Elephas maximus indicus: one gene and its partner. The protein of the gene in region 1 interacts with the protein of each later gene in a pairwise test. Links are inferred from orthologs where the notes say so. Each region holds a gene or a part of one and is shown in the gene's direction. Other genes may lie near its edges.

Region 1 (7,672 bases):
CAGGATAATAAGGAGATTAAATTGACCTACCAAACAAGGATCAAGCAGGGACATTGAGGGGAGAGAGGGGGCGATTTGGGATAAAAATAAACAATCTTTTTAATGATTTGAGTCCTTCTGCTTCGAAATGAGCTAAGCAATCATTTATCAGGGACATTGTGGAAAAGATCACTGCATTGGCAGGCAAGTTGGAGACCATGTTTAATGTTCTTTATTGATGCTAAGAACCTGTGATTATCTCTCATTTTATAGAGAATAATCTGAAATTCTCCCTCTGTCTGTTTCCTAGCACTTTCACCATTTGCCTTCATTCGTTCATTTCTATGATTATTTGTCTCACACCTAGTGCTTCTCAGACTTTGACTGTGGCCTACAGGGAGAAATACATTCCACATCTCAATGTGGCACACTCATAAAGACCCAGGTTTCCAGTAAAAATACTTGTTCTTACGATGTTTAACTCACTGTAATTATCTTTTCTTCCACTTCATTTTAAAGTGCCGATTGTGACCCTTGAAACTGATTTTACCCACCACCAATGAACCATCCTGGGTAGCACAAATGATTGAGCACTGGGCTACTAACTGAAAGGTTGGTGGTTCAAACTGACCCAGAAGTGCCACAGAAGAAAGGCCTGGCAACCTGCTTCCGTAAGGTCACAGCCATGAAAACCCTATGGAGTGCAGTTCTATTCTGAAACACATGGGGTCGCCATGAGTTGGAATCCCCTTGATGGCCACAGTTTTTTATGTTTTAAATGAGCCATCACCTGCAGTCTGGAAATCACTGCGTTCTGTGGGCTGGATTCCCAGCCTCCAGCCCAGGGCCTGGCACTCTGGAGCTATTTTTGGAGAATTGTTGAATTAAACAACAGATGCATGAGGCCTCACGTTTCTGGTTAGTTTTTATTACTTCTCTTTGAATAAAGGCTACAGAGCTCCTTTTTTCCTTCTGTTTTTCTATGTTGTACAAACGCTACTATTAATGCCACTGAAGGCTGTGGTTACAACGTCCTAAAGAGGGCACATCAGTTATTACAATGACAACAGTTTTTTGGACCCAGGCCATAAGTAATCTAAAAATGGCATGAGATAACAGCCTGTTAAGATGTTTGGGCAGCGAAAGCACACATTATTCATTAAGTTTTCAGAGATTTTTCTTGAGCTTTCTCCATAGATATTTTTTAATGCTGTGTTGATTGTATCTAATTGACTTCAGGTGCCCATCCTTGTAATGATGCTAAATTTTGCTTTTTTTTTTTCCCTCGGGGTAAGATTTTTACCCTTGTGGAAAAAACATAGTGGTTTCATACTCTAGGTTAAGGGTATAAAAATGATCTTTATCATTTCAAAAGCAAATAGACTGAGTTCTGAATTGTGTTTTTGTCATTTGTCTCCAGTAGAAGTAACAAGTCTCCTAAGAAAATCTCCAGCCCAGTTTTACAGCCAAACTTTTAGACATATTTCTCCTCTCCCATTTTGGAATCTTCTTTATTCCCTAACCTTTCTTAGTTGGGGCCACCAAATATCATATCTTTAACATTACAAATTAGGAATATTAACGTTCTTAAAGAGAACCTTCTTTTCACAATTTGTTTATGATTATCACATCCTTTCCAAGTTCAAGGATGCCGCACATCAGTTTTTTACACCAATTGGCCAACAGATCCTAAATTATGAAGCTGCAAAGCGGAATAGAGAAAGCACGAAGACCGGAATTGTTAGTTGCCACTGAGTCTGCTCCAACTCATGGTGACCCCACGTAGAATAGAACAAAATGTTACCCGGTCCTGGGCCATCTTCATTTTTGTTGATATGCTGGAGTCCGTTGTTGTGGCCACTGTCTATTTTGAGTACCTTCCAGCTAAGGGGGCTCATCTTCCAGCGCTGTATCAAACAGTTATTGTCTATTGTGATCCACAGAGTTTTCACTGGGTAATTTTTGGAAGTAGATTGCCAGGCCCTTCTTCCTAGTCAGTTTTAGTCTGGAAGCTCTGCTGCAACCTGTCCACCATAGGTGACCCTGCTGGTATCTGAAATACCGATGGCATGGCTTCTAACATCATAGCAACATGCAAGCCACCACAGTATGACAGACTGACAGATGGGTAATGGAAAGATTGGAATAAAGGGGGTAAAGAGGGAGAGATAGGAAAACAGAGAAAGGCAGAGAAAATTGTCCACCTGGGTTTGGGTGTGTTAAGTCCCACCCTTGATGGTCCCTTGTCCATAGCACCTGGCTCTCAACTTGGAGATGCAAAGATGCACCTGTACTGGGCAGGGGAGCTCTTTACCTGACCCTCCTGCCACCTCTGCCCTGTCTTTGGCCCCATTTCCTTTTCCTGCCAAATGGACCCTCCCTTTGATGTCCAGCAACCCAGCTTCCAACTCACCGCCTTGCCAAGAGGCCAAGGTCACTTGGGAGCCCTCTGCCACCACGTGGAAGGGCCTTTCTCAGCCTTGTCCACCTCAGCCACTTCTGCAGAGGATCTCGTGATTTCTCCCACTGCCTTGAAGCGCTCGTGCCCTTGGCTTCTGAGATACCTTCTGCAGATTTCTCTGCCTCTGTGGCTGCTCCTTCAGAATTCTCTCTCCAAGGCTCTGCCCCGCTCCTCTGTCTTTCCATTGTCTTCTTTTGAGAGTTCAGGTACCACCTCTTTACTGACAGCTTCCACAGCTCTCCAGTTGCTACAGGGCGTTTCTAACTGGATGCTTTGCACCCAGCCACATGGTCCTAAGGACAGTTTTCCTCTTACTGTCCGAGCCCCAGTGCCTTGTTTCTGGAGCATTGCAGACAGACCTAGTCTGCTCCAGACCCTGGCCCCTGCAGGCCAGGTCACACCCAGATTCAGCTCCGGCGTGAAAGCTCCAGTGTGAAAACCTCTGTGGGTCCCTCCATCTCCTGCCAGGTCTGGTTCAGACTCCTTGCAGGCTGTCCGGGCCTCTCGTACCCAGCCCTTGTCTCAGCCCATCCCTAGTTCTTGTCTGCAATGTGATCCGCCAACTCACATCAGGCTGGCTCTCTTGGCCTGTCCAGAGGCCCTGTTCCTCCTTTCTTCCACTGATCACTAACAGTGTCCTTCCTGCTGTCCTGCTCCAAGCCAACAGCACCTGTGGCCCTTCGGCCTCCACCCACAATGTTCTCCTTCCCTTCTTCTTCCCACGAACAATCCCTCTTTCTGTGCTCAGTGTCCCTGCCTAGGACAGGAATCGGGTCTTAGACCTCTCCCCTCTGCCCACAGCATCTAACTGCAGTCCTTGCTAACCCATACACTAAAGATGCCACAGGAAAAGTGACAGAGTCCTGGGCCCTGACCTGCCATCCACTGATGTCAAAGCTGTCCTAGGAAGACAGGCTTCCATCTCCTCTGTACCCCAGGGAGGCCCACGAATTTCCCTCAGAGTAACTTTTTATTCAGTTCTTCTTTCACCCACTTGTGTTCAACCTATACAAGCTCATACCAATTTGAAACCTTTCGGACTTTTACATGTAATTGAATCATGGCTATCGTGCAACAACGAACACAGATGTTATGCAGCCGTCTTCTTGACGGAGCCTGTGCCTGGGTTAGATCACCCTATTCATATAAAAAAAAATATTATATATGTTTATGTACGTTGCTTCCTCACCTGTTACCGCCATCTTTACTTCAGAGCGTGGGTAGGGAAGCTCAAATGATGGATCTAGTATTTGTATGTGTGGGTGTGTTTCTCTTCCTCTCCTATTTGTCCTAACTCTTTGCCTCTTTCTGGGATAGAACAAACAGATTTCCTGAGGTCATGCAGGGATCAAGTGAACAAGCCTGCAGTGCGACAAAGTTGCGTCCGAGGGGCTGGTCTTCCGGGGAAAGAAGAGCGTGTATGTTTTAACTTGGAGGGCTTCCACCGTGCTTTTAACCGCGGCAGTTTCCAGCCCCATATTAGGGTGGCCTCTTTGGAAGTAGGAAGCAGCATCTTTTTGGGCGTGTAAGCAATAGTTGACGCGAGTTACAAACCCGGAGGCAAGGCCCTGCTGCAGCGGAAAAACAAGTGGAAAGAGGGGCGCGCCTCGGGGGACGCGGCCAAAAGTGGAGCTGCTCGGAGGTGGAAAGAGCTGAAAAGGCTCCCCAGCTGCCCATGTTTGGTTCTGGAGCTGCCGGCGGGCCGGGTCTGGCTCCGGGGAGGGGTCACCCCAGGCCGTCCCCAGGGCCAGGGAGGACTTCCCCGCCCGGCCCATGCTGCTGGCGGCCGGGGGTCACCGCCGAGGCCCCCGCCCCGCCCTGCCGACGGGCTGCGCCCCCTGGGCGAGGACCTGGCGCCCCTCCGCGTGGCTGCGGCTCTCCCGGCCTCTCCCTTTGTCCCCGCGCCCGCCCCCGGCCCTCGCTCGGCGGAGGAAGGCGGCCGGGGGGACCGAGGGGGGCGCTGCGGCCGAGGCTCCCCAGCACCTCGCCCTCCCCTCAGGGCGCAGAGGGCGGCCGAGGGGGCGGAGAGGGAGGCCGGCCCCGGGGGGGCGGAGAGGGAGGCCGGCCCCGGCCCCGCCCCGCCACGTCCCGCCTCCCGCTCGGCCCTTCCGCCGCCGCGGCGCCCCCTGGCGGGTGGCCCGGCGCTCGGTGCGCGGCCCGGGGAGCGCGCGGCGGCGGCGGCGGCGGCGGCGGCGGCGGCGGGCCCGGGGTTGCCATGGTGACCGGCAGCAGCCGCCGCCACAGCAGGGCCGGCCCCAGCGCCAGCGCCGGCCGCGGCCCGGGCTCAGTGTGTGGGTGAGCGGCGGCGGCGCGGCCGGGGAGCGGAGCGGGCTGGCCGGCGGCCTCAGCATGGAGGACGGCTTCTCGAGCTACAGCAGCCTCTATGACACGTCCTCGCTGCTGCAGTTCTGCAACGGTGAGGGCGCCGCGCCGGAGGCCGCGGGCGGGCGGGCGGGCGGCGGGGCCGGGCCGGCGCGAGGGCCGAGGCTCGGCGCCGCGGGCGAGGCCGCGCGAAGTTGCTGCTGAGGGGCGCGCGGTTCCCGCCGCCGGCGGCGCATTGTGCTGGGGCCGCGGGGCCGCGCCTCACCCCGGCCGGAGCGCAGCGCGGGGCCCGGGCGGACCCCGGGGGGACCCCGGGCAGACCCCGCTCCCCTCCGGGCTGACCCCGGGCGCACCCCGGACGGACCCCGCTCCCCTCCGGGCTGACCCCGCTCCCCTCCGGGCGGACCCCGGGCGCACCCCGGGCGCACCCCGCGCCCCTCCGGGCGGACCCCGGGCGCACCCCGCTCCCCTCCGAGCGCACCCCGCTCCCCTCCGAGCGCACCCCGCTCCCCTCCGGGCGCACCCCGCTCCCCTCCGGGCGCACCCCGCTCCTCTCCGGGCGGACCCCGCGGACCCCGGGCGCGCGGCGGGAGCCCAGGGCGGCGCACAGGCTCGGCAGCTTCGGGGTCCCCGGAACGTGTTGCGTTTTTGCTCGCAAACTCGCATCTGTTTGGGAATGACTGGCCAGAAAACTCGGGACACGAATCAATAACAAAACACTGCTGCGAGGATGCACGCAGGGTTTGTTGCACAGGGACCCCCGGAAGCCAGTCTGTTCTACTTTAATGAAATTAGCCCAGTTAAATGCAACCTAGAGCTTTTAGAACGGAAAGGTAAAGTGGACCGGGCTGAAAAGTGTTCCGTCTTATTTTTTTTTTTTACGGGATGATAGATTTTTCTGCCTTTTTTTTTTTTTTTTTAACAGGAAGGAAACATTCATAAATACTGATATGGCATATTCTCAAAAATATAAAGTCCTACATACTTGAAAGATTTTAGGGTCCCTAGCCGGGTTGGAAAAGATTTTCACAGAACACTGCATATTTTATCAGAGCAAGATGTCAGATAATTCATGTAGGAAAGTTAAGCACACATTTTATATCTTGGATTTATTGCTTCATCAAAGGGCCCCAAAAGTTTGTTAAAGGTAAAAAAAAAAAAAAAGTAATTTATAGAATTTGCCTGAGCTGCAGTCAAGAGTAATTTTGAATTCTAGACACTTCGGCAATTGGAGCAATTTATTTTGCATTGGGATTTAGGAGCAAGTGTTATTCAAAACTGTTTGCAAATAGGAGGTATTAGCTGTAACCGTAGGGAGTAAAGAATGTGTTGATCCATCTTGTCTCTATAGTGATCTTTTTATCTCTGTGAAATCTGTCTTTTTCATGGCAGAGTTCCTATATACTGTGGTAACTTGCAGCTTGTAAATTTCTGATGAACAACGTGTGGGCCTTCATTAACTTAGTAATGACTCCTTCCGGGGAATGAAAGAAACTTTTTCACTCTCTCCAAATTTAACTGCAGTTTCTGAAAGCAGAGCTCCTGAGAGTTGGAGCCCCAGAAGGTGTGAAAGGTAGGCGGAGGATATTTGACACTCTGCTGTTCACTGGTACGCCTTATAATACAGAGTCATGGGAGCTGCTTCCCTCTCCCTTAGTTTGAATAGATTCCCTCAGTTAAATTTTGAATAGTTCCCATAACTGACTTATAATCAATCATGTTTCAATTGCTACTGTTGATCTAAAAGTTAGGCACAGCCTCCTATTTCAGTTCATGATAAAATTCTCCCTAAGTTAGTTGTGAAAGCGATATAGCTGAAAAATTATATTAAGTGACTCCCAGGCATAAAGGGTTTTTTTAAGAAAATGAATACATGGGCATTAATTGACAGTTTGGCTAAGGATATGAAAATGAGTGTAGATATTTTTATTTGAAGAGTTGTTTTGGAGCCTGGTCATAGAAAAATCACTCCAGAATCAAACAGTAAGATCACTTAAAAACACAAGTAAATTGTAACTGTTGAGTTACTTTTCTCCCAAAGCTCTTAGCTCGGTGCTTATTATTTTTGGGTTGCCTTCTGAATGAAGTTTAAAGCGAGAATAGCCTATGGGGCAGAAATGAATGTTAACTGATGATGTCTTAGGTAACAGATGTTTTGATGTGAAATTATTCATTTTAAGAGGCTTCCATTAAGTGAAAGTATAAATGAATACAATTCAGTTAATTACTATGATGATTCAATTAAAGCATTAGGTCACAGAATCACCATCTCACCAAGAACTAAATTAACCATTTGGATATTTCATTAGCTACGTTGCTTTTTTTTAGTTAGAGATTTACATTACAATGGCAAGACGACATCAGCATGAAATATGAACTCAGGCATTTTCCTGTGATGTGCAAGCTCTGTGGTTTTGATAGTGCTAGGAATGAAAAAAGTCATAATTATATATGAGTTTCAGAAAATAACAATCCATGCTTACCATTTGGATGGCTATTACTGTTTTGTTTTGTTTTTTTATTACTGTTACATTCCATCTGTTGAGATAAAGATATGAGATGGTATAATACATGAGAAGAGAGAAAGAGAAAACTTCGTTCCAATGAATGAAATTTATGTCTTCCTTTTAGACTTTCTTTCTTGCTATCCCTCTGACTTAATTTATAGTGAACACTAAGTGTAAACTGAGGTAGGATCTAGTCTCCTGAGAAGGCTGTCCATTTTCATGTAACTAGAAAGTGGCTGCCTTGGTTAACGAGAAAATTTGTGTGGCGTTTTTTTCTTCCAAGTATTTAAAACTCTGTACACTGAACTAGATGAGGGCAGTGGTGGTTCTGTGGTAAAATTCTCACCTCCCGTGTGGAGACCCAGGTTCGATTCCTGGCCAGTGCACCTCATGCACGGCCACC
Region 2 (6,971 bases), on another chromosome or scaffold:
TGTTCAGCGACCTCTCCTGTCACCTTCCCTATCAGTGACCTGCACACCCGGGTCCCAGGCCCCACAGAAGGTTTAAATTCTGCCCTCCTTAAATTCTCCACTCCTCCTTAGCACCTGACTCCCTAGACCTGTGGCCTGGTATCCTGCCTTCCCACTTTTCTATCTCCGTGACTCAGAACAGTATGTTAGGCTTCTGGCTCACCTGGCCTGAGCCCACGTCCACAACCTGGGTACAGCCTGTGAGGTCACTCAGCTTCTTCACCAGCTGAAAAAAGAGGGAGCAAAGGTCTTTTGGCCATTGTTCCTTGACTCCTAGGGCAAACACCCATAATGAGGGTGGAGGAGCTGAAGATGACAGAGGAAGATGGGTTCAGAGGGATCCAAGGAAGAGGCAAGAGATACAGAAACCAAAATGGGGGGTGAGGGGAGGGTGGATGCTGACACCAGGTTCAGGCCACTCTCCTTGCTCCCCTTGGGCCAGGGATTCAACCTCCCGCACAGACCAAGGAAGAAGCGCCCTGCTGTGAACCCTCCATGAGCAGGTTGTGGAAATGTTGAGAAGAGGAGTAAGACAGTGATCCAGATAAAGCCACCAGTCAACCCAGTAAGAGGTTGAAAAAAAATACCAACATCAAGATATGATTATAGTATGTCTGCCCCAAGGCAGGGGCCTTGTAGGGCCTTTGGTCCTATATGTGAGGGAAGGGGCAACATATTTGTACCCTATGGGCTTAACGAGTCCCAGGGCTCCCAGACACCACCTGTGTCCCCAGCCATCTCACCTCTCCCAGCCTCCGGATCTCATGCTGCTTCTTGGGCCTGACATGTTTCCGGAACAGAGGCGTCAGTCGGGAGCTCTGGCTGGGGTTCTCCAGGAACTCCGAAGGGGTCTGGAACCCAGGTGTCCGAGTAAAAGCCAGGGCATAGGCTGTGGACTTCAGGGCCAACAGGGTGAGTGGCCACACCGACCTGTACCTGAGATAGCCCAGCCAGGCCACCAATGAAGTCCTGTCACAGCCTCAGTGTAGCAGTTTACAACCCAGGGGGCCAAGGAAGCCCTTGTGAGACTCTGAACAATGGTTAGCCGCAGGGCTCAGTGCCAAAGTCACCCAGGACAGGGCCCCTCTTGTCCATACCTGACCACCTCTCCTTCCCCAGGCAGCCCCAGCAACAGTGTGGCCAGCTGTGGGGGGTTCAATCTATCCAGTGCTTCCTGCCATGAGCAAGGGAGTGTGCTCCACAGGTTGTCTGTGAAAAATTCCTGCAGGAGAAGGGGAGAAGCAATCAGCAGACTACTACCACTTCTAGTTTTCCCTCCCCACTTATAATTCCCCACCTTATCTCCTGCCACTTCCCAGCACTGCTGCTACACAGGGCCACTGGCTACAACCAGCAAGTACCTCTACTCATCCAACTCACCTCTTGCTCCAGCCATACCACTGTTTCTCTCAGTAGCTGACCTATCCTTCCTCGGTGCTGAGATTGCATTCTGAATACACCTCTCCATTTAGGAGGTTCCCCTACTTATATGTCTATTTTCTCCACTCAACTGAATTTCTTAAAGGCAAGAATGGTGTCTTCTATCCACATCTGTGTCCCCAGCGCTAACTGCAGTAACTAACACACAGTGCACGCACTATCACTTAGTAACCTATTATATATGCCAGATCCTTGTGTACGTTTATTCATTCGTTTGTTCAACAAATTCTGGAGCTTTGATTATGCACCAGGCACTGTTCTAGGCTCAGGGGATACAACAATGAAACAGACAAGATTACTGCTCTTGTTGAGTTTACATAAAAAAAAAGTTTCAGATCATATTAAATGCTAATGAAATAGTAACGTAACGGAGAAGGTGCGAGAGGACTAGATAGGGTGATGAGGGAAGACACGTGAATGAACAGGAATCAGCCATGTAAAGAAAATGCAGGTGTTAGCAAACACTTATGTAATACTTTAATATGTCAGCCACTGTTCTAAACGTTCTACATGTATTAATACATTTCATCCTCAAAACCATATAAGGTAGGTACTATTATTATCCCCCATTTTACAGGTCAGGAAACTGAGGCACAGCAATTAAGTAGCTTCCCTAAATAAAAAAGTAAGTAACAGAGCTAAGATTTGAAACCAGTTTGACTCCAACATCCTTGCTCTTCGCTTCAGTCTGGAGTAAAAGCATCCTAGGCAGAGAAGTAAGTGCAAAGGCCCAGATGGCTGCCATACCCTGGAAGAAAAATCAGGCCAGTGTGCATGAAGCACGGTGAACGTGGGAGACGATGAAATACGATGGGGATGAAGAGGCAGCAGGGGCTAGATCATGTCAGGCTTTACAGCTACATTTTTAAAGAGATCCATCTGTCTGCTCTGTGAATTGGTTATGGAGGGGCAGAAGTAAACACAGAGCAGTTAGGAAGCTATTGTTGGAGTCCAGGGGAGAAATGATGGTGGTTTGTCCCAGGGTGGTAGCAATGGAGATGGAGAAAAGTGGATGAACTTGATATCTGCTCTGGGGGTTAAGTCAACAGGACCTGCTGAAGGGTCGGATTGTGGATCAGTGAAAGAGCTGAATCAAGGATGACTTCTGGGTTTGGGGTGTGTAACAATTGTTACACATTATCTCATTTATTCTTCATAGTGATCCCTCAGACAGAGGTCCATTTTAGAGCTGAGGAAACCAGAAAAAAAAAATCCAAACCCACTGCCGCCGAGTCAATTCCGACTCATAGTGACCCTGTAGGACAGAGTGGGACTGCCCCATAGAGTTTCCGAGGAGCACCTGGTGGATTCGAACTGCTGGCCTCTTGGTTAGCTGCCGTAGCAACCACTAGGCCACGAGGAAATCGGGGTTAGGAATAAAAACAAAAATGCCTAAGGCTAAAACAGTAGTGGAGGCAGGATTCTAGTCTAGTCTAATTCCAAAGCCAGAAACTGTCCACTATACCACAAAAACAATTTATTCAAAGCGCGGATGAATGTGAGGTCAACGTGACTGCCACACAGCTCCTATGTTCATGCGTTTTATTACCTTGGATTTGGGAAGGTTTGAAAAACCTAGGTATTAGGGATACTCATGTCAGCTGAAAAAGGGGTCACCCCAGTTTTAACCCTTTCGTGTACAGACAAAAAATTGAAACTCATAGAAGAAACGAGATCGGAGACCAACTCTCTAGAGTCTCTCTCTGTCGTGGACACCTAGCCAACCACACCCGACCAACACCTGCCCCAGGAGCACTCCGCCCACACCCCCATGGCCTCACGATGATGTAGGCATCCAGGATGGAACGGTAGAGCGCCAGGACACGGGTGAGTTTCACAGCTAGCTGCCTCCTCTCCTCCAGAGAGAGGTCCCGAGCGGAAACGCCCGGCATCCTGGGGTCCAGTCGGAGCGGGATGCGAGAAGGCGGTGAGAGATCCACGGTCACTACCACGCCAGTACAGGGCCCAGGCTCGGCTCAGCTCTGCGGGCGGGACGGGACGCAAAGGTTTTGGGTCAGGCGCCCGACGTTGCCTTTCTCAGATCCCATTCTGGGGCTGAAGATACGAGGTGCCCCCTAACGTCACAGGTCGTGACGTCTCAAAGCGCGAAGGTATCAGCGTCGGAGACAGGTGGGCGGGGGCGACAGCGTAATGACGACACAGAGGCGTGTTGCGGAGCCACGCCTACGAAGGGGCGGGCCAAGTTCCAGATCCCGCCCCTTCCCATACACGCTCCTCCTCTCCAGGAAGTAAGGCCCGGGACCCTCAGCACGCCAGTTCTTGTTCGTCGGGGCTTCCTTACACCTTCGAGTTGTACCTCCACGGGGCTAGAGGGGCTGGGGAGCGCATCCCGCCCCCGCCTCCACCCACACCGCCCCCGCCGCCGCCGCCGCTGCCGATCCTCACACACTCCGAATCCCTGGCTTCGCTTCCGGAGGTGGGGGCGCTGCGGGCGCGCGGGCGCCGGGCCCCAGCCCGTTCCAACCCGCGCGCCTGCCGTCCCGGGCCTCGTCGACGCGCGCCGACTTCCGCATCCGGCTCCGGACGCTTCCGGTCTTAGGGAAGACCATCTGGGAGGTAGGTATGTGGGCGCTGGGCCGATCTCCGTGGCGGGGGACTGTCAAAGTGTGCTCGCCGGGGTGGGCTCCCCCGAACCTAATTCCCCCCGCCCCTGCTAGTATATAGCGTGAAGGGTCCTTTCTTGGGAAAAGAAAAGACTTGGGTGAGGTGCATGTGGATTTTCCCCCACCTGGAGCCGAGGAAAAGGGGTGCCTAGATTTGTATCTCTATTCATGGGGCCTGCCCTGGGGTACTTGGGTAATCTAGAGGTCATCTATGCCATGCTGCTCCCTACTTTCGAGGATACTTGGACGTTCCCTACCTGGGCGAAGCTTTATAAAGCTCTTCTATTCTGGTTTTCCACATTCACAGAGAATTTGAGTTATGATGGGCCCTCCAGCCCCCTCAGTTTGCAATAAGACCAAGACCAAAAGAGGGGGAATGACTTTCCTAAGACCCTATGGTTAGTGAATGTGGGGTTTTGCTAGATTCCAGGCTTCCTGACTCAGATCAATGCTCCTTCCATCGTTTCACATTGCAGTGCTATTCCTCCTCTATCTCAGAGGTTGCCCTGATGTATAACTTTCCTCCCTTGAGTCCTGCAGAGATCTGTCATATCTCATTTCTTCTAGGTCTGCGGGCTCGATTACCAGGATTCACTTTATTCCCCAGGCTGTACTACAAACCTCCAGATGCCGGTCTATGGAATTCAGCAGAGAATGAGTCCTCTGTTCTCCTTTCATCTGTAAGCTGCTCTCCTAGCATCCACTGTCCTCATGTCTACCTTACTCCTCAATCTGGATTTTGGGGAACCTCCTCCCAAAAAGGCTTTAGAGGGGAATTCCAAGCATCAAAATTTTGTCAAGAAGCGGCGGTTCTTGGAACAGAAAGGTTTTCTGAATAAGAAAAAGCAGCCCCCTAGCAGGGTGGCTAGGTTGCACTCAGACCCCCCAAAGAAAGAGGAGACTGCTAAGGTAGGTGGCACTTGGAGGGTCCCTCCCCTCCCAAAAAAGAAAAAGACAGCTGCCTCCAGCAGTGGATCAGAGCAGTCCCTGGACAAAAAAGCTACAGTGCCTTGGTTGACCCCTGCCCCTTCACAGAAGGGTCATTCTACTGCAGCTAAAGTAGATTTGCTGGGGGAGTTCCAGAGTGCCCTTCCAAAGATTAAGACCCACCTAACCTGCTCCCAGAAAAAGCATCCCCAGAAGACTGCCTCACAGAATTCCACTCAAGCTCACTCAGAGAATAACTGCTCCGGAGTAGTCCAGGAGATGCCAAGGAAGATGGTGGCAGTTGACTGTGAGATGGTGGGCACAGGGCCCAAGGGACATGTCAGTTCCTTGGCTCGATGTAGCATTGTCAACTACAATGGTGACGTGCTTTATGATGAGTACATCCTTCCCCCCTGCCGCATTGTGGACTACCGGACCAGATGGAGTGGGATCCGGAAGCAGCACATGGTGAATGCTACACCCTTCAAGATTGCTCGGAGCCAGGTGAGGGGCCTGGGGCATGTGGCTGTCCGTAAGATGGGGGGGAGGGGTCCCAATCATTTTTCAGCAAAAGATATCACTGGGGAAGGCACCAAAGGATTGTAGAAGGTGGGAGAGAGGTATTGGATGGTAAAGAAGGTTTCCTGTTAGGGTGAGGAGTGATGAAAGACAGGAAGGTTATAGTTAGCCGGTGTAACAGACTTCATTTGTTGTTGTTGTTAGCTGCCTGTTGAGCTGGCCCCGGACTCAGCAGTTCCATGCACAACAGAATGAAACACTCCCCAATCCTGTGCCATCCCCATGATTGTTGTGATGCGTAGGGTTTTCATTGACTGATTATCAGAATAGATTTCATTAGCCACCTACTTTAGGTCCCAAATGGAATCCTGATCTGGGCAACTGGGAATCTGCACAGAGAAATAACAGCTAGTGACAAAACTGGACAGAGCAGCAGACATGAGTGCCCAGTGAAAGGGCTGAATTTGGGACTGCCTGGTAGCTGGAGTCTAGGGTTGAGAGTGGAGAGATGAGTCTAGGGTTGAGAGTGGAGAGATGGAGAGGGCTTCCTAGCCTGAGGGAAGTGTTGGTGGCAGGTGAAGGTAGAAAGTTAACAGAAGGAACTGGGGCATATTTGTATAGCTGCGCCAATTGGCCTGCATTGAAGGAGATGAAAGACACATAAAAAAGAAAAAAGGCCTGTGCCGGATGCTGGGAGCATCACAAATTAACAGGAAAGGAAGAGGAAGAGGATGGGGGAGAAAGGGGAGCCTGCTGACGATAGAAGGCCTCCAGAGGGCGCCCTTGGTCCACTTCTTTGCTAATTCAACTCCATTTTCTTTGCCATCTCTAGACACGCTTTCTTCTGATAATTCTTTATATACCAGAATAGTCAGTTAGGGAAGGTTCATCAGAGGTGAAGCGGCTGGTTTTTAGAAAGGACTTGGAATGAAAAGCCGAAGAACATCTTGTGCACAGGGGGCACGGCTTGAGCAAAGGCTCAGGAGGGGCAGAAAACAGGGTGGGTCGGAGACAACAAACCCGCTCACCTTTCTCGAGGATTGTGTGTTGAGGGGAGCCCTGATGGCAGTAGATTTGGTCTGGCATGTGTTGAGGTTAAAAGAGGGTGGTAGTGAACTGTAGGTGAAGTCATTAGCAACCCATTAACTAACTGGTTGAACTACATCCAGTTTTTATTATAAAGCACTTCCACAATCCCCAAGTTGGGGTTGTGAGACGAAGCTACATTCAGATGAGCCTGGCCCTTTCAGAGGGGTCCCATTGGGAGGCCAAGCACTTACTCCAGGACTGTTGCTCTTGTTCACAACCTGTGTGGAACCTCACGGCATATTCTTTGATTGTCCCTACAGGTAGTATATCCTTATGTTTAAAGTTTGTGAAATATTAAGATGTTACTTGCTTCCAAACCAGTGTGACCAAGGC

The links.
Region 2: the proteins of EML1 (region 1) and ISG20L2 interact in binary tests that used the Homo sapiens proteins (3 or more experiments, as listed by UniProt). The two-hybrid records come from large-scale screens. The link is inferred for Elephas maximus indicus from reciprocal best matches to the Homo sapiens genes EML1 and ISG20L2.

What each region holds. Positions count from the first base shown.
Region 1 is NC_064828.1:113,576,140-113,583,811, reverse strand, and holds the start of EML1 (echinoderm microtubule-associated protein-like 1), read left to right. Parts: upstream 1-4,672; 5' UTR 4,673-4,789; coding exon 4,790-4,856; intron 4,857-7,672. UniProt on the Homo sapiens protein: Modulates the assembly and organization of the microtubule cytoskeleton, and probably plays a role in regulating the orientation of the mitotic spindle and the orientation of the plane of cell division.
Region 2 is NC_064821.1:194,473,917-194,480,887, reverse strand, and holds the start of ISG20L2 (interferon-stimulated 20 kDa exonuclease-like 2), read left to right. Parts: upstream 1-3,966; 5' UTR 3,967-4,056; intron 4,057-4,670; 5' UTR 4,671-4,814; coding exon 4,815-5,534; intron 5,535-6,971. Other genes in the region: METTL25B (methyltransferase-like protein 25B), read right to left, coding at 203-265, 783-975, 1,137-1,261, 3,261-3,371. UniProt on the Homo sapiens protein: 3'-> 5'-exoribonuclease involved in ribosome biogenesis in the processing of the 12S pre-rRNA. Displays a strong specificity for a 3'-end containing a free hydroxyl group.